2 linked regions of the Macaca fascicularis genome follow. The protein of the gene in region 1 purifies or fractionates together with the protein of each later gene. This does not show direct contact. Links are inferred from orthologs where the notes say so. Each region holds a gene or a part of one and is shown on either strand. Other genes may lie near its edges.

Region 1 (7,510 bases):
AGGAGCAGTTGCCTTTCCCACCCAACAGTGCTGGCCACAGGGCTCCCTGCAGCGTCAGGGACCAAACCATGCCCAGGAGAGGGGAGGCGCTGGTCCCCGTCACAGGACTGGAGACACGAGAACAAACAGGACCGGGTAGAGAGAGTGGAGCTTTTTTATTGCCCTTGGAGCCCGCTCTCTCAGAGGCTGCCTTCTGTCGCCGAGGGTCCTGGGCCGAGCACGCGGTGGCAGCTGGCTTAGTTGGTGGACGGCCTGGGGTAGGGGAGGGTGGCAGGGTATGAGACCTCCAGGGGCGCCCCAAGACCCCAGACACCCAAATGGTGCCTTGTGGCGGGCTAGGGGCAGAGAAGGACGGGGCAATGGGAGGACAAAGCGGGCACTGAGCCAGATGGCCAGCCTCAAGGCCTGGCCCACGGACTGGCAGGGACCCCAGGCACAAGAGCTGCCACCCCTCTGCCCCTCTGCCAGGTTTTGGAGAAAAACAATAAAGGACTGTCCCCTCAAAACCAGCTGGGGGACTGCTAAATTGGCACACGGCCACTGGTTGGCCCAAGGTTCCGTGGAGGTGCTGGGACGAGGTGGGGAGCAGGGGCTGGGGTGGGGAGGGGTGGGGCGGGGGTGGAGTCTTACTTGGCCCACTCGACATTGAGAATGAGGTGGTCGTAGCCGAAGCCAGACACCCCGGCGATGGCGCGCGCGGCATCCTCACGGCGGTGGAAGCTGATGAAGGCGAAGCCCTGTGCAGGGGCGGGGTGGGGTCAGGGGCACAAACTAGGACAGGCGACCCCAGGACAGGTGACCCTCACACAGCCCCGTCGCACCCGCCTGCCTGCCCACCTTGGACTGGCCGGTGGTCTTGTCCTTAGCCAGGTAGATGCGGGAAATGGAGCCGAAAGGCCGGAAGAGCTCCTGCAGGTCGGTCTCACGTGTGTCCTCTGACAAGTTGGTGACACGGATGGTGGCGTTGTCGTCGGCTGTGTGGGAGAGGGGAGGTGGCTGTGAGGGGGAGGCCCCTGCCCGGCCCTTGTGTGCATGCTTTGGGGATAATTACGAGGTGCCGGGAGATGCCCACCCACCAGCCTGGCATCAGGGTGCCCCTCACCTCTGCGGTTGGGCTGCATGGACTCCCCGCGGCGGCTGGCCCCGTCGCGCAGGCTTGGTGGCACGTACTTCCCTGTCTTGTTCTGCGTGGCCTGCACCGGCTCCAGCTCTGGGGACCAAAAGACAGTCAACTGAGTTCAACCTCACCCTGGCGCAGGAACAGGGACACAGCCGCCCCAGGAGGCTCAGGCTTCAGTGCTGACCCAGCGCAGGCACCGTGTGCCAAGCCACAGGCAGCCAGTTGGCCACGAGGACACCAAGGTGACACCTAGGAAGCTGACACCATTTGAGCTCCTGGCCGGTGACAATGGCGGAGGAAGAGGGAGCCCTGACCCCACCCCAGAGAGGGTGGGTTGGGGGGGTGGCGACGGGAATGGCAGCCTCACATCCACAGCGACAGCAGGCATGGGACACACGACAGGAACAGTGCCCAGGTTTCCCTCGCATGGTAGGCGACAAATGCACGTCTCCACTCTCACACTCACCACCAGCAATCCCACCAAAAGATTCAGACGTTACAGCCACAGGCATGCAACGGAGACACTACACACACAGTGTGTACACACAAGGGCCGACAGACAGCAGCTCCCATCAGGACAGTCATAGGGCCACCAGCAGAGTCACAGCTGCCAAGTCACACATACACGAGAGACGCCGGTCTCCCAACCACAGGAGGTACAGCCAATTAGGAAGGCACAGACGCCCTGAGAAGAGTCGGGCGCCATCAACCCTGCCACGCTGTCGTGTGGGAGATGACAGCACAAAGGCAGCACTGGGGACAGAACCCGCGCACTGACAGCAGGACCCCCCGCCCCCGCCATGGCAGCCAGCATCCCCAGCCCCGCACCTCCCGGCAGCTTCTCCTTCTCGCCGGTAGACAGGCCCAGCTGCTCGGCCAGCTCCTTCTGCATGGGACCCAGCGTGTCCTTGTAGGGGCAGCGGGTGGTCCAGTGGTCGCCCTTGCAGATGCGGCAAGACACGATCTTCTGGCCCTTGAGTTTGTTCATGGGGTCCTCCTCCTCCTGGCAGTTCAGGTCCTGGCAGGGGCGGGTTGTGGGAGCTCAGAGGCGGCTGAGGCACCCCCTGTGCCCCACCCCAGCACGCCAGCCCCCCCGAACGCCCTGCTCACCTCTTTGCTGGTGATGAACGTCATAGAGACGTCATCACTGACGGTGGTGGTGGCCACATTGGGTCCCGGGGGGTCAAACTCCGAGTTCCCGAACTTCTTCCAGTTCTGGGCTCAGGGGGGGATGGGGGACAGTTGAGGGCAGGGGCAGGCAGGGTTCCACAGTGGGGTACCCTAGACCTACAGCAGCCATCCCCAGAGTACCTGGGCCTCGAACCCCATTTTCATCCTCCTCAACCACTCCCCAAATAGTCCTGGCGACAGTTCCCATTTCCTGAGTACACGCCAGGCCCAAGCTCCAGGTGACAGCTGTACAGCCTGGGGCCTGTGCAGGCTGGCGGACCAGCTCCCACCAGGGCGTGATACTCAGGGATGTGCAGGGGTCTACCCAGACCTCCGGGCCCTTGAGCTAGACAACCTGAGCCTCAGCTTCCTCCCTTCCTCCCTTATCAAACGGGAACCACAAAAGCTTCCTGCCTCCCTGGGCTCCTAAGGAGACTGAATCAGAGAGACACTCCCTGCAAGGCGTTTGCCATGGGGCATGTTACAATTAAGTGCACAGCAAGCTGTTCTAAGTGTATTTATTGCTAATGCCTCTAACTGCTGCGACCACCTCCTGCCTCTGTTCCTCCAGGCTGACAGGCCAAGAGGAACAAGAATCTAACCCCGGCTGGGCCCGGTGGCTCCCTCCTGTAATCCCAGCACTTTGAGAGGCAAAGGTGGGAGGATCTCTTAAGCCCAGGAGCTGGAGACCAGCCTGGGCAACATAGTGAAACCCCATCTCTACAAATAATTAAAATTAGCCGGGTGTGGCAGTGCACACCTGTAATCCCAGGTTGGCTTGAGCCTGGGAGTTCAAGGCTGCAGTAAGCTATGATCGTGCCACTGCACTCCAACCTGGGCAACAGAACTGGACCCTGTGTCTTTAAAAAAATTAAAAGAATCTAACTTTCACTCGATATTTATAATGGAATTTATTTGACATTTATTAATATAATTTGATATCTATCATCAAACTTTTATTAGATATTTATCATTTATTTAATCGCTATTTATCATCGACTCCTATGCCCTGGACTTTCCAGAGTCCCAAGAGAGTGTAAGCACTCCAGGCCTCAGTTCAGCTTCAACAAAATAGGTACAAAGAGTTAAGCCCGGCTGGGTGCGATGGCTCACGGCTGTAATCCCAACACTTTGGGAGGCCGAGGCAGGTGGATAACGTGAGGTCAGGAGTTCGAGACGAGCCTGGCCAACATGGCAAAACCCCGTCTCTACTAAAAGTACAAAAATCAGCTGGGCGTGGTGGCGCATGCCTGTAATCCCAGCTACTCAGGAGGCTGAGGCAGGAGAATCACTTGAACCCAGGAGGCGGAGGTTGCAGTGAGTCGAGATCGTGCCACTGCACTACAGCCTGGGGGACAGAGCGACACTCTGTCTCAAAAAAAAAAAAAAAAGAGTTAAGCCCCATCTCTTAACAAAAAGGTCCCGGAGCACGGTTTCCCAATTCCTCTGGGTTAGCCCTGGGGAAGGAGCGCCTCACCTTCCTCCTTGCAACAGCCTTTGAAGCCTTCCGGGTCTCAATCCTGAAGGTGCGGACAATCTGAGGATGGCAGGGGAGAAGGGTCAGGCTTCTGGGACTAGGGGATCTCCTTTACCAACCCCCTCAGCATACCCCGCCGCCTTCTGGTCTAAGGGCCCCCCTACCCTCACCTTGAACTTCTTGCCATCCTCATCTATCTTGTACTCTGTCACTGTCTTTATGTTTCCGTTGATGACTTCCTTGGGAGGTGGCAGTGGAGCTGGGAGAAGGGGAAAAACAGAAGGACTGAGCCCTGGGTCATGGGGATCAGGAGCGGCAGGGCTGGAGGGAGAGGCAGCCCGGACACGGAGTGGCAGTCCTCACTCACCTCCCGGCAGTAGCTCTGGCTCTGGGCTGGTGTCGCCAGTGGCCAGAGGGATCCCCTTGAGGAGCTCGCTGGTGACACATTTGTCTGCAAGAGGCAGCGTGGGGAGGAGGGGTCAGGTCCAGGGCAGGAGCTCCCCAGCTGCGATGGAAGGGCCTTTGGGATGATGCCTACAGCAAGAGCTGAGAAAGGCAGGTCAAGGGCAGAGGGCTGACCAGGCAGCGCACTGGGATAGCCCTGTGGGGACTTGGAGTGGCAAAGATGGGGGATCCCTCGTAGGAAGGTGGGTGCCAGGCCATGAAGCCAACCAGGCGCCAGTAGAGAAACAGGAGACGGGAGATTACAACTTCCTCCCTGGAGTAAGGCAACAGCTGGGAGGACTTCGGCAGTAACATGGGAGGAACAGGGACCCGCCGGGGAACACCTGGAGTTGGCAACAGGCAGGTCCCAAGGAGGATGGCGCGGGGCAGGGGCTGGTCGTGACGGGGGACACGGTGCCAGACTGCGAGATGGAAGCAGGCGTCAGTCGCCCGGCTCGGGCCTGGCCGCGATTACCCCGCGCGACCGGGTACACTTACCGTCCTCCCCCTCCTCCTCCACCTGGTCAGCCCAACTGGGCTTCGAACTGCGGAAACAAATGTGTGGGAAGCGAAGATTAAGTCAGCAAGGCCCGGTCCCCGCAGCCTCGGCACACCCAGGCCCCATAATACTGCCCAGAGCACCCCAACCGCTTCCCATGCCCCCCTCCGCGATCCCGGACTCACTCAAAGTCTCCAGTAGGCATCGCAAAAAGTATTCTCCACGCAGCCCAAGCCTGGCCAGAGAGCGGAAGTGGGTGGAAAACGAGACTTCCGGTGTCGCCGTCGCCGCTAGAGAGGCCCAGCCGCGGCACCCACAACGACACCTGCGGACGGAGGTGGAGGCGCACGCGGCTGTGTGTGCTGCTGAACGCTGCTGGTACCAGAGCAGGGCTGGCGGGGCAGAGGCTGATTTCAGTGCTGGTCCTATTAACCTTTAAAATTAAAATAGGCGGGGCGCGGTGGCTCAAGCCTGTAATCCCCTCACTTTGGGAGATCGAGGCGGGCGGATCACCTGAGGTAAGGAGTTCGAGACCAGCTTGGCCAACGTGGCGAAACCCCGTCACTACTAAAAATACAAAAATTAGCTGGGCGTGGTAGTGCGCGTCTGTAGTCCTAGCTACAGATTGGAGGCTGAGGCAGGAGAATCGCTTGAACCCGGGAGGTGGAGGTTGCAGTGAGCTGAGATTGCGCCACTGCACTCCACCCTGGCGACAGAGCGAGACACCGTCTCAAAAAAAAAAACAAAACAAAAAAAACCCCACACACACAAAAAACCAAAATTAGCCAGGCGTGGTGGCGGGCGCCTATAATCCCAGGGACTCGGGAGGCTGAGGCGGGAGAATCGCTTGAACCCACGAGGCGGAGGCTGCAGTGAGCCGAAATCACACCACTGCAGTCTAGCCTGGGCTGCAGAGTGAGACTCTGTCTGAGAAAAAGAAGTAAAATTAAAATAAATAATAATAATCATAACAAGGCTCACTTATTGAGTGCTTGTTGTATATGAAGCACGGTGAGGAGGATATTACTTCCATTTTACAGCTGAGGAAACTGAGGCTCAGACTGGGTCCGGTGGCGCATGCCTGTAATCCCGCACTTTGGGAGACTGAGGTGTGGGGATCGCTTGAGGCCAGGAGTTTGAGACCAGCCTGGGCAGCATAGTGAGAACCCCTGTCTCTAAAACAGAAAAAAAAAGAAAAAAGAAACCAAAGCTCAGGGAAAACAATCCTTTTGCTTAAACTGTTCCTTATCTTCTTTCCCGATCTCAATGATTCAGATGCCAAGTCGCCCCCCTCCCCAGCCACTCCCTCTTCTTTTCTTTGTAGCATTCTTGGCTTTCCGGTATAATTTTGTGCATTTACTTCTTTATGGCTCAGCTGCTTGCTCTAAGCACAACCGTCCTCAGTTGGAGTGATTCATGATGACTCCCCAGGGGAAAAAACTGCTTTTCAGGGAGGAAAAAAATCTTAGATATTGTGGTCTTCTAAAGCCAGCTCTATCAGCCATCTTATTCCTAAGTATTTAGTTTCTGCCTTTAGGGAGATATTAAATGTAATTATATTGAAATTAATTTAGTTGATGTAAATTCAATTTTAGAATAATTCGGGTTTTCTCCTAAGGAGGGTGATATGAACAAAAAAAGTTTGACAATGCCGGATGCAGTGGCTTACAGGTGTAATCCCAGCACTTTGAGAGGCCGAGGCGGGCAGATCTCTTGAGGTCAGGAGTTCAAGACCAGCCTGGGCAACATGGCGAAACCCGTCTTTACTAAAAATACAAAAATTAGTTGGGTGTTGTGGCCCGCGCCTGTAATCCCAGCACTTTGGGAGACTGAGGCAGAAGGATCACTTGAGCCCCGGAGTTCGACCAGCCTGGGCAACACATAGCAAGACCCCCATCTCTAAAACACATTTTTTTTGGGGGGGGATGCAGTCTCACTCTGTCGCCCAGTCTGGAGTGCAGTGGCACAATCTTGGATCACTGCAACCTCTGCCTCCCGGGTTCTAGAGATTCTCCTGCCTTAGCCTCCCGAATAGCTGGGATTACAGACTACGGCCACCATGTCGTGCTAATTTTTGTATTTTTAGTAGAGATAGTAGAGACAGGGGCCCGCCTCAGCCTCCCAAGGTGCTGGGATTACAGTTGTGAGCCTGGCCCCTAAAAAAAAAAAACAAAAAAAAAAAGAAAACAACAACTTTAAAAAAATTAGCTGGGCATAATTCTGTGTGCCTGTAGTCCCAGATACTTAGGAGGCTGACGTGGGAGAATAGCTTCAGTCCAGGAGGTTGAGCCATGATCACACCACTGCACTTCAGCCTAGGCAACAGAGCGAGACTCTGTCTCGAAAACACAGACACAGACACACACACACACACACAGACACATACATGCAACAAACAAAACAAAACAAACTTGTAAGGGAGAATGGCCTGAGAAAAATAAAGAAGAAGACAGGAAAAACAAAGTTTATGCTGTTTATCCTCTGAGGTGTGAGTGAGGAGGCCACTCAAGGGTTTAGAATATCACCAGCTTTTCTTGTGGAAAAAATTATTCTAGAAGCCTGTAGAGACCCAAGTGGAAGGAAAAACATTAGCTGGAGGCAGGAAAGAGAGGCACACCGCTGCGGTTTGCGGCGGTTTTTCAGGAGGGTGTCCTGGCTATGTATATTGGTGAAAATATGAAGCTGGTCCAAAGGGCTGATAAACATTTGTACAAGCTTACTCAAATGTACTCTGAGCAACACAAAATCCAAACAACCTAGCAGATTGGGCAAAGCTTTAAAAATTTGATATCACCCAGTG
Region 2 (6,825 bases), on another chromosome or scaffold:
CTACAGCTGGCAGTACTGTCTCTACCAATCCAACCAGTTAGTCTAAGAGGAAACATTTAGTTGTCACCTTCTCAACCTTAGAAAAGTGAGGGGACGGCCGGGCGTGGTGGCTCAAGCCTGTAATCCCAGCACTTTGGGAGGCCGAGACGGGTGGATCACGAGGTCAGGAGATGGAGACCATCCTGGCTAACACGGTGAAACCCCATCTCTACTAAAAAATACAAAAAACTAGCCGGGCGAGGTGGCGGGCGCCTGTAGTCCCAGCTACTCAGGAGGCTGAGGCAGGAGAATGGCGTGAACCCGGGAGGCAGAGCTTGCAGTGAGCCGAGATCCGGCCACTGCACTCCAGCCTGGGCGACAGAGCAAGACTCCGTCTCAAAAAAAAAAAAAAAAAAAAAAGAAAAGTGAGGGGACGAAGATCTAAACCTGAGTTGAATCACCCACTCCCACACACACCCCTACCTTGGTGATCTTGGTGAGTCGTGAGGTGTCAATGGGGCGGCTACCTTTGCTGATGGGAACTGTGTTCCAGCCACCATCATCCACAAGTGGAAGTCCACGGCCTGACACAAAAAGAGGGGCATACTGGAATAATGAATAAACCTTAGCAGCCCCTTCCCCTTGGGCCACCCCCAGCCTCCCTTCCTCAGATCCTCAGTTCCATCATGGGGTCTCAGTGGCCCAGACACGTGGCACTAACAGGAAGTCATCAGAGGAAAGTATAACCTCCCAGTCTCTTCACTGCTCCCTTCTCAATCCCAGCCTGGAACTCACTGATGGGCGGGCCTGGAGGGCCACCCCGACGCTTGTCACTGCCCTTGGCCATGAGCTGCTGCACTTTGATGTGCTCTCGATGTTCTTCCATCTCAGCCTCCTTATGGATCTGGTCAATGGTCTTGGGACCCTGATCCCCTCGGCGTGGCACCCAATTGCTCTGTGGAGACAGAAGGCCAGTCACGATGATGTCAGGGAAGGCCAGACAAGACAGTGTCAGAAACTGGAGGCAGCAGGCTGGCAGTGGGGAGGAGGGGGACACACACCCCTCGCAGATCCAGCACGTCCTGCAGCATAAAGCGGATGCGGGATGACGTCTTCTTTTCTTTGATGATTTTTTCCATCTGGTTGAAATACTGATCCATTCGGGGCTATGGAGGAGAAAGGCATCAGACCAGGAACTTCTCATGTCTCACCTATAACTGCAGGCCCCACCCCTCCCCTCAGGCCTTCCGCCTCGTCCCTGTGGCTCAGTGAGCCCCGCATGCTTCAGCCCATCCCCCTCCAGATGCAAGAACCTCTACCTTGGCTTTTTCAAAGTCCAGGTCTTTGCCAATGGTGGTAAGCAGACGACAAAGGCACTCAAGGGACTCTTCATCATGGTTCTTAAGCAGTTTGACCACACAGTCATGCATTATTGCCTCTGTTAACATCTTCAGCTTGAACAACTCCCCAATAAACTTGATATTCCCTAAAGAGCGCCGCCGGGCTATGTCCCGAGCCTCTTCCAGCTCTTCCTTAAGGCGTCCTCGTTCCTCTGCCTGCCATTCACATGACAGGGATTGTGTCAAAAAGATAGCCAGCCACTCTGCTAAAACCCTTTTCTACCTGGATATCCAAACTTAGCAATAAGCACTCAGTCCTGAGGCAGGCTGGCTGGGCATAGTGGCTCATGCCTGTAATCCCACCACTTTGGGAGACCGAGGCAGACAGATCACTTGAGGTCAGGAGTTTGAGACCAGCTTGGCCAACATGGTAAAACCCCGTCTCTACTAAAAATGCAAAAAAATTAGCCAGGTATGGTGGCACATGCCTGTAATCCCAGCTACTTGGGAGGCTGAGGCAGGAGAGTCGCTTGAACTCGGGAGGTGGAGGCTAGCCAAGATCACGCCACTGCACTCCAGCCTCGGTGACAGAGCGAGACTCTGTCTCAAAAAGGAAAAAAAAAAGTTCTGAGCCAGAGAAATCCCCAAGACACCACTATTTCCATTCCAAATTCTACAGTTGAGTAGAATCTGGGTGAGGGAAGGAGCTAAGTGGGGAGTGGAATCGGTAGTGGGTTTTCTCTCACCGTAGCAGCTTCATCCATCTCTTTTTGCTTCTTCTCAAAAACCTCATCATCATCTTTGTCTTTCTCAAACTCCTTCTGACATCGATTCAACAACAGCTTTCGGAAGTTTACAGTCACTGTTGGCTTTTCCGTAGTGGGCACTTTCAGCTGCAGGTCGGAGAGAATGTCACACTCAGACTAGTACTGGGCAGGGAAGGCCCTCCAAGAGCCTTTAACTACCTGACCCAGGAAGATATCTGGCCCCAGCTGTGCCTCCTTCCAGCTGGAAGAGGTGCAAGTTGGAGGAGAACCAAGAAGCTGGACTCAAGGAGTCTTGGGAATAGAAATGGGCAACTAGACCATAAGATTTAGAACCCAGTGGAAACTAACCGCCATGAGGCAGCGGCACATGTTGGCATAGGCCACAGAGAAGTTGGGCTCTGAAATGGCCTTCTCAAAAATGAGGTCAATGACCCCTTTGAGGCGTTCCTCGGTGTCAATGGCCAGCTGCGTCACTTGCTTCATCAGCTGCTGGAACATCTGGGGTGTCAGCTTATTCAGGATGGAGCGCACCCTGCGGAATAGGTCCTGGAGGAAGAGGAGACAAGAGTTCCAGTGAGGGTCTCAGAACAGGCTGTTCAGAGGGACAGGAGAGAGTGGTGGGGACTTAGGCATGACAGATGCTACTGATAAGGACAAAAAGCAGCAAAGAGGGCACTGACAGCAGACATGGAAAAGAAATGGAGAGAGACCAAAAGCAGGACTCGCCAGTACCTGGGTTTTGCTGCCATCAGCATCCTCTTCCCCTCGGTCCTTATCAGCTGCCGTCCGCTTGCTGCTGGGTTTCCAGGCTTTCTCTGCTTTGTTCAGTTTTATATCTTCGGTCATTAACACTGTGGCAATGATCTTGCGTGGTTCTTTTCGGGTGCCCTGCTGAGAGCGCCGGGGTCCCAGGCCAGCCTGCTAAGCAAGAGATGAAGACAAGAGGGGACGTGGAACTAGTCAGCACAATATGTGATACCACTACTACACGCCTCCAGGGCAAAACCCTCCCCGTCAGCACTGAGACACAGGGGAATCATCCACTCCCACTCCTTACCCACCTGCCCCTTTACCCAGCCCCACTCACCGGCCCTCGGGGCAGCTCCCCACCTGGCCCACCCCTTGGGGGCCCACGGGTGCTAAGGGCTGGCCGGCCAAGGTTGGCAAAGGATGGAGTGAAGTCTGGGCCATAATTTATGCCTTGTAGTCTAGTGGGGTCCAGTGGTCGCAGTGGTGTTTTATTGGCCTGCAAAGAGGACAGGAAAAGGTCTTAGAAGCAGGCTAGAGCAGTTGACTACTCTTTCAGGACCTCAGGCTCCTCCCCAATCCATCCAGCACAAACTTATCGTCCCCTCCCTGACTCAAGCCACTAACCTTGTCCAGCACCACATCACTGATATGGGGCAATCCCTCTGGCTTCTGCATACTGGCAAAGATGAACTGAAAACCAAGCAGGAACTCACGGTCGTAACGTTTTTTCTCCTCTAGATTTAGAGGCTTCCACTGATCTGCGAGGAAGAGAATGAAGCAATCATACTGTCTTCTCTGGCCCTAATAAGAAAACTCAAGTCATTCTCAACCCTTTCTTCAGCATACCTGACTTATATTCATACTTCTGTTCCCCGGGCTGGATGTTCTCAGCATTGTGAATTTTGTCTTCCTTTGAGTCCCAGGTCTCATCTGCTTCCTCAGGACGTGGGGGCACACCACTGCCCTCAGACTCTGGGCCTGGATTGCTGCCTGCAGGAGGCTGATTTTCCACCTCTGGTACTGCCGGGTTTGCCTAGAACAACAGAACACCAGTTTTGGTTGCACAATGACCACTGTTCCATACCTCAACTTGGCCCTCTCCCCTTCCGTTTTCTGCTCCCTTACCTCCTTGAAGGCATCCAGAAGGTCTCCAACAGCCTCCTTCTTATTTAGCTCCTTAATTTTCCGTCTCCTCTTTGGCACAGATACTGCCACTAATTTTAAAAAATAAATAAAAGCATGGGTCTTTGCCAATAATTTAAGGAGTACCCTTAATCCCTGGGAAATAAAAAGCAGCCAAAGTACATATTTCCCCTTTGCATCACAGTCTTCAGGCTTAAAAGTCCTTAATCTAGTTCTTAGATTCCATTGCAGGGCCTCTATGACCCAGAAACATGGCAAAAACGGGAGGTCATCAAGGAGGGCAAGGAACCACATCCCCTAGCCCACCCTACCTCTACTGCCCAACCAATCCTTACCTTGAGTGGCCGCTGCTGCCTCCAAATTCTGAGACAAGTTGGCTGGAACAGGGGTGCTCTCTGAGGGGAGCAGTTCCTCTCCTCCCTTCTCACTCTCAGCTTCTCCTGCTTCTCCTTCTTCCTCTTCTTCTTCTTCTTCTTCCATTTCCTCCTCCTGAGCGGGGGAAGTAGCTGAAGGAGCCATAGCTGGAGTGGCAGAGAGGATGGTGGCGGGCGCCACTGATGCTGTCACCTCCTTGGCCTGCTCCTCTGGCTCACTGACTGGGCTTAAGTCCACAGCTGGTGGCGAGGGGGCTCCGTTGAGCAGTTCCTCAGGTTGGGCAGTTGGAGCAATGGGCACAGGGGATTCGGAGGGGCAAGCTGGTGGAAGAGCAAGCTCTGGGCTGGACTCCACCTCTGGTTCCAGATCTTCAGATGGGACCATGCCATTAGGCTCATGAATTTCCACTGTGTGAGATGCCAGAGGAGTGGAAGCCTGGAGAGGACTGGAAGAGAATTCAGATTCTGGAACCGGTTTGCTAAGTGTCACTTCTACTTCCAGTATGGGTTCGGCGAGAGGAGTGGGTTCTGGAGAGAGGCGATATGGCTCCCCAGTTTCACGGGAGATGGGGGTTGATTCTTCTACAGACATTTGTATAGTTGCCATAGTGTCCCCAGGAATAGAGAGGACTGCGAGATTAGGCTCAGACCCCGGTTCCAAGACTGGGGATGGTGATGGGGTCGGAGAAGGTGACGAAGGCTGGGATTCTGAAGGGCTGTGCTCTGGGCCAGGCAGCCCTGGCCGGTCAGCAATGATTGCTCCCTGTGACCGGTCATCTGCACCATAGGAAGGAAGAATGAGCAACTAAAGGCAAGTGCTTCACTGCTGTTGTTCCTCCCCATCCTCCAGCCAAGGTATTTCCAACTTAACACTCCCACGTCATCATCTCCCACCTAAGCTATACTTCCACTTTCATCCAAAACCCAATTCACCCTCAAAATCCCACGACCTGAAATCTAAGTCATCCTTCTCTGGTACCCAGTTCAAGTCACTCCACCACCTCAGCATTGAGGTGACAGCAAACTGTCAACATTCCCTTTCCCCGTAAAAGTTCCATCCCACCCGCTTACTTACCTGGCCGGACAATGACAGCAACCTGGGGCGTCTCCCCATTAGCTTGAGGCTCCAGACCGCCTCCCGTCTGCAGGACACAAAGGGTTACCAAGTTTGCACTGAAGAGTCCCACAACCCTTCTTTACTAGAGCCATTTCTACTTTAGCTCTGCCTAGAAATCCAGGAAAGCAGGGAAATAAATCCCTTAGTTGAAAGAAAAGATCCAGAGACTTGGGAGTCCAGGGCAGAACAGACATCCCAGTCAGGGTATCGCTCAAAAAACAGACAGTACCTGGGGAGGGGTGGGTGTGGAGGCAGTGCGGGCCCCAGACATGATCTCCTCCGTGATATCCTTTCCTCCTTGGTTTGGATCTCGAATTCGGATCTGGGGAAAGAAAGTTATGGGATGAGTGGGAAGCAGGAAGAGCCCACCTCTCCACCCTGCCCCACTCTTAAGACTCTGGGCCAACTCCCCACCCCACACTGGGAAGCAGGTAGGTAGGTGCCAGAAACCCCTTGAGTTCCACTTTCAGCCCATCTGGCTGCTCTTGTAGTCCCTGCCCTAGCTCCCACCCTTAAGAGACCCTTGACCTCACAAAGCAGCCCTGTACATCACAATGCCCCTCCCTCCCTCATCCCTACCCCACCAGCAGTCCCCAAGCCAGTGGCTGCACACCCTGGGGCCCAAGACCCCCATCTAGCACCCAATCGGCTCACTTGTGGCTAGTGTGCCTGATCTCTGGGGGCAGGGCCCAGATCCAGTAGGTGGAGCCAGGGTGACTCAGCGGCTTCCCCAGCTCTGGCACCCTATTCTGGGCACCACGCCCAGGGCTTGAGGACTGAGCAGAGGCGGAGGCCTTGAGAGCTTCCAGGACTTGTGGGGGGGGCCGGGTGGGGATGGGGGCTGGGGCCACAGAAAACAAACCATTTCCAAGGCAAGCCACCAGAAGCCCAAAAGCAAGCACAGTTCTTCCAACCTCCCAGCACCCAGGTCTCACAGGAACTTCCTCGCTAGCCACTTCAGTCTTCCCATGACCTGCTTCTATGCTAAAATCTTAGTATCTTACAAAGAACCTGAGCCCTCCACAGACCCCATTCTCTGCCCACTCTCAGCTCCTTCCTCAAGTCACTGTTCTTTCCGGCACAATGTCCCAGCAGCATCTGACCTTGATTCTCCCCTTCCCAGATGTCCCGGAGCCCCTCGCTGCTACTCACCGTCTTACGTTCCCTCTTGGGAGCAATCTGGGGTGGCTGGTTCATCAAAACTGGGGCGGGGGCCACACCAGTGGGAAACTGCTGCACCCCTTGGGCTGGATAGTAGGCGCCAGCTTGGGGGAGGGGGACGGAGAAGAATGGTGGTAGCGTCAGGGCCCAACCATATCCTAATGCCTGCTTGACACCTCCCACCCCAAAACCTC

Evidence for each region. Proteins that work in one complex are often made in the same cells at the same time.
Region 2: the proteins of EIF3G (region 1) and EIF4G1 purify together in Homo sapiens (affinity purification with mass spectrometry; 3 studies listed by BioGRID, with this or other methods). This does not show direct contact. The link is inferred for Macaca fascicularis from reciprocal best matches to the Homo sapiens genes EIF3G and EIF4G1.

The regions. Positions count from the first base shown.
Region 1 is NC_088393.1:10,661,226-10,668,735, forward strand, and holds EIF3G (eukaryotic translation initiation factor 3 subunit G), read right to left. Parts: upstream 4,976-7,510; 5' UTR 4,916-4,975; coding exon 4,896-4,915; intron 4,757-4,895; coding exon 4,710-4,756; intron 4,219-4,709; coding exon 4,135-4,218; intron 4,027-4,134; coding exon 3,938-4,026; intron 3,828-3,937; coding exon 3,768-3,827; intron 2,336-3,767; coding exon 2,231-2,335; intron 2,139-2,230; coding exon 1,949-2,138; intron 1,211-1,948; coding exon 1,103-1,210; intron 975-1,102; coding exon 838-974; intron 738-837; coding exon 631-737; intron 507-630; exon of another isoform or gene 253-506; coding exon 237-252; 3' UTR 137-236; downstream 1-136. UniProt on the Homo sapiens protein: RNA-binding component of the eukaryotic translation initiation factor 3 (eIF-3) complex, which is required for several steps in the initiation of protein synthesis.
Region 2 is NC_088376.1:96,241,948-96,248,772, reverse strand, and holds part of EIF4G1 (eukaryotic translation initiation factor 4 gamma 1), read right to left. Parts: intron 6,736-6,825; coding exon 6,623-6,735; intron 5,793-6,622; coding exon 5,700-5,792; intron 5,496-5,699; coding exon 5,429-5,495; intron 5,131-5,428; coding exon 4,315-5,130; intron 4,260-4,314; exon of another isoform or gene 4,181-4,259; intron 4,051-4,180; coding exon 3,962-4,050; intron 3,870-3,961; coding exon 3,683-3,869; intron 3,595-3,682; coding exon 3,461-3,594; intron 3,333-3,460; coding exon 3,174-3,332; intron 3,008-3,173; coding exon 2,819-3,007; intron 2,633-2,818; coding exon 2,435-2,632; intron 2,213-2,434; coding exon 2,066-2,212; intron 1,536-2,065; coding exon 1,299-1,535; intron 1,146-1,298; coding exon 1,041-1,145; intron 935-1,040; coding exon 775-934; intron 719-774; exon of another isoform or gene 643-718; intron 564-642; coding exon 463-563; intron 1-462.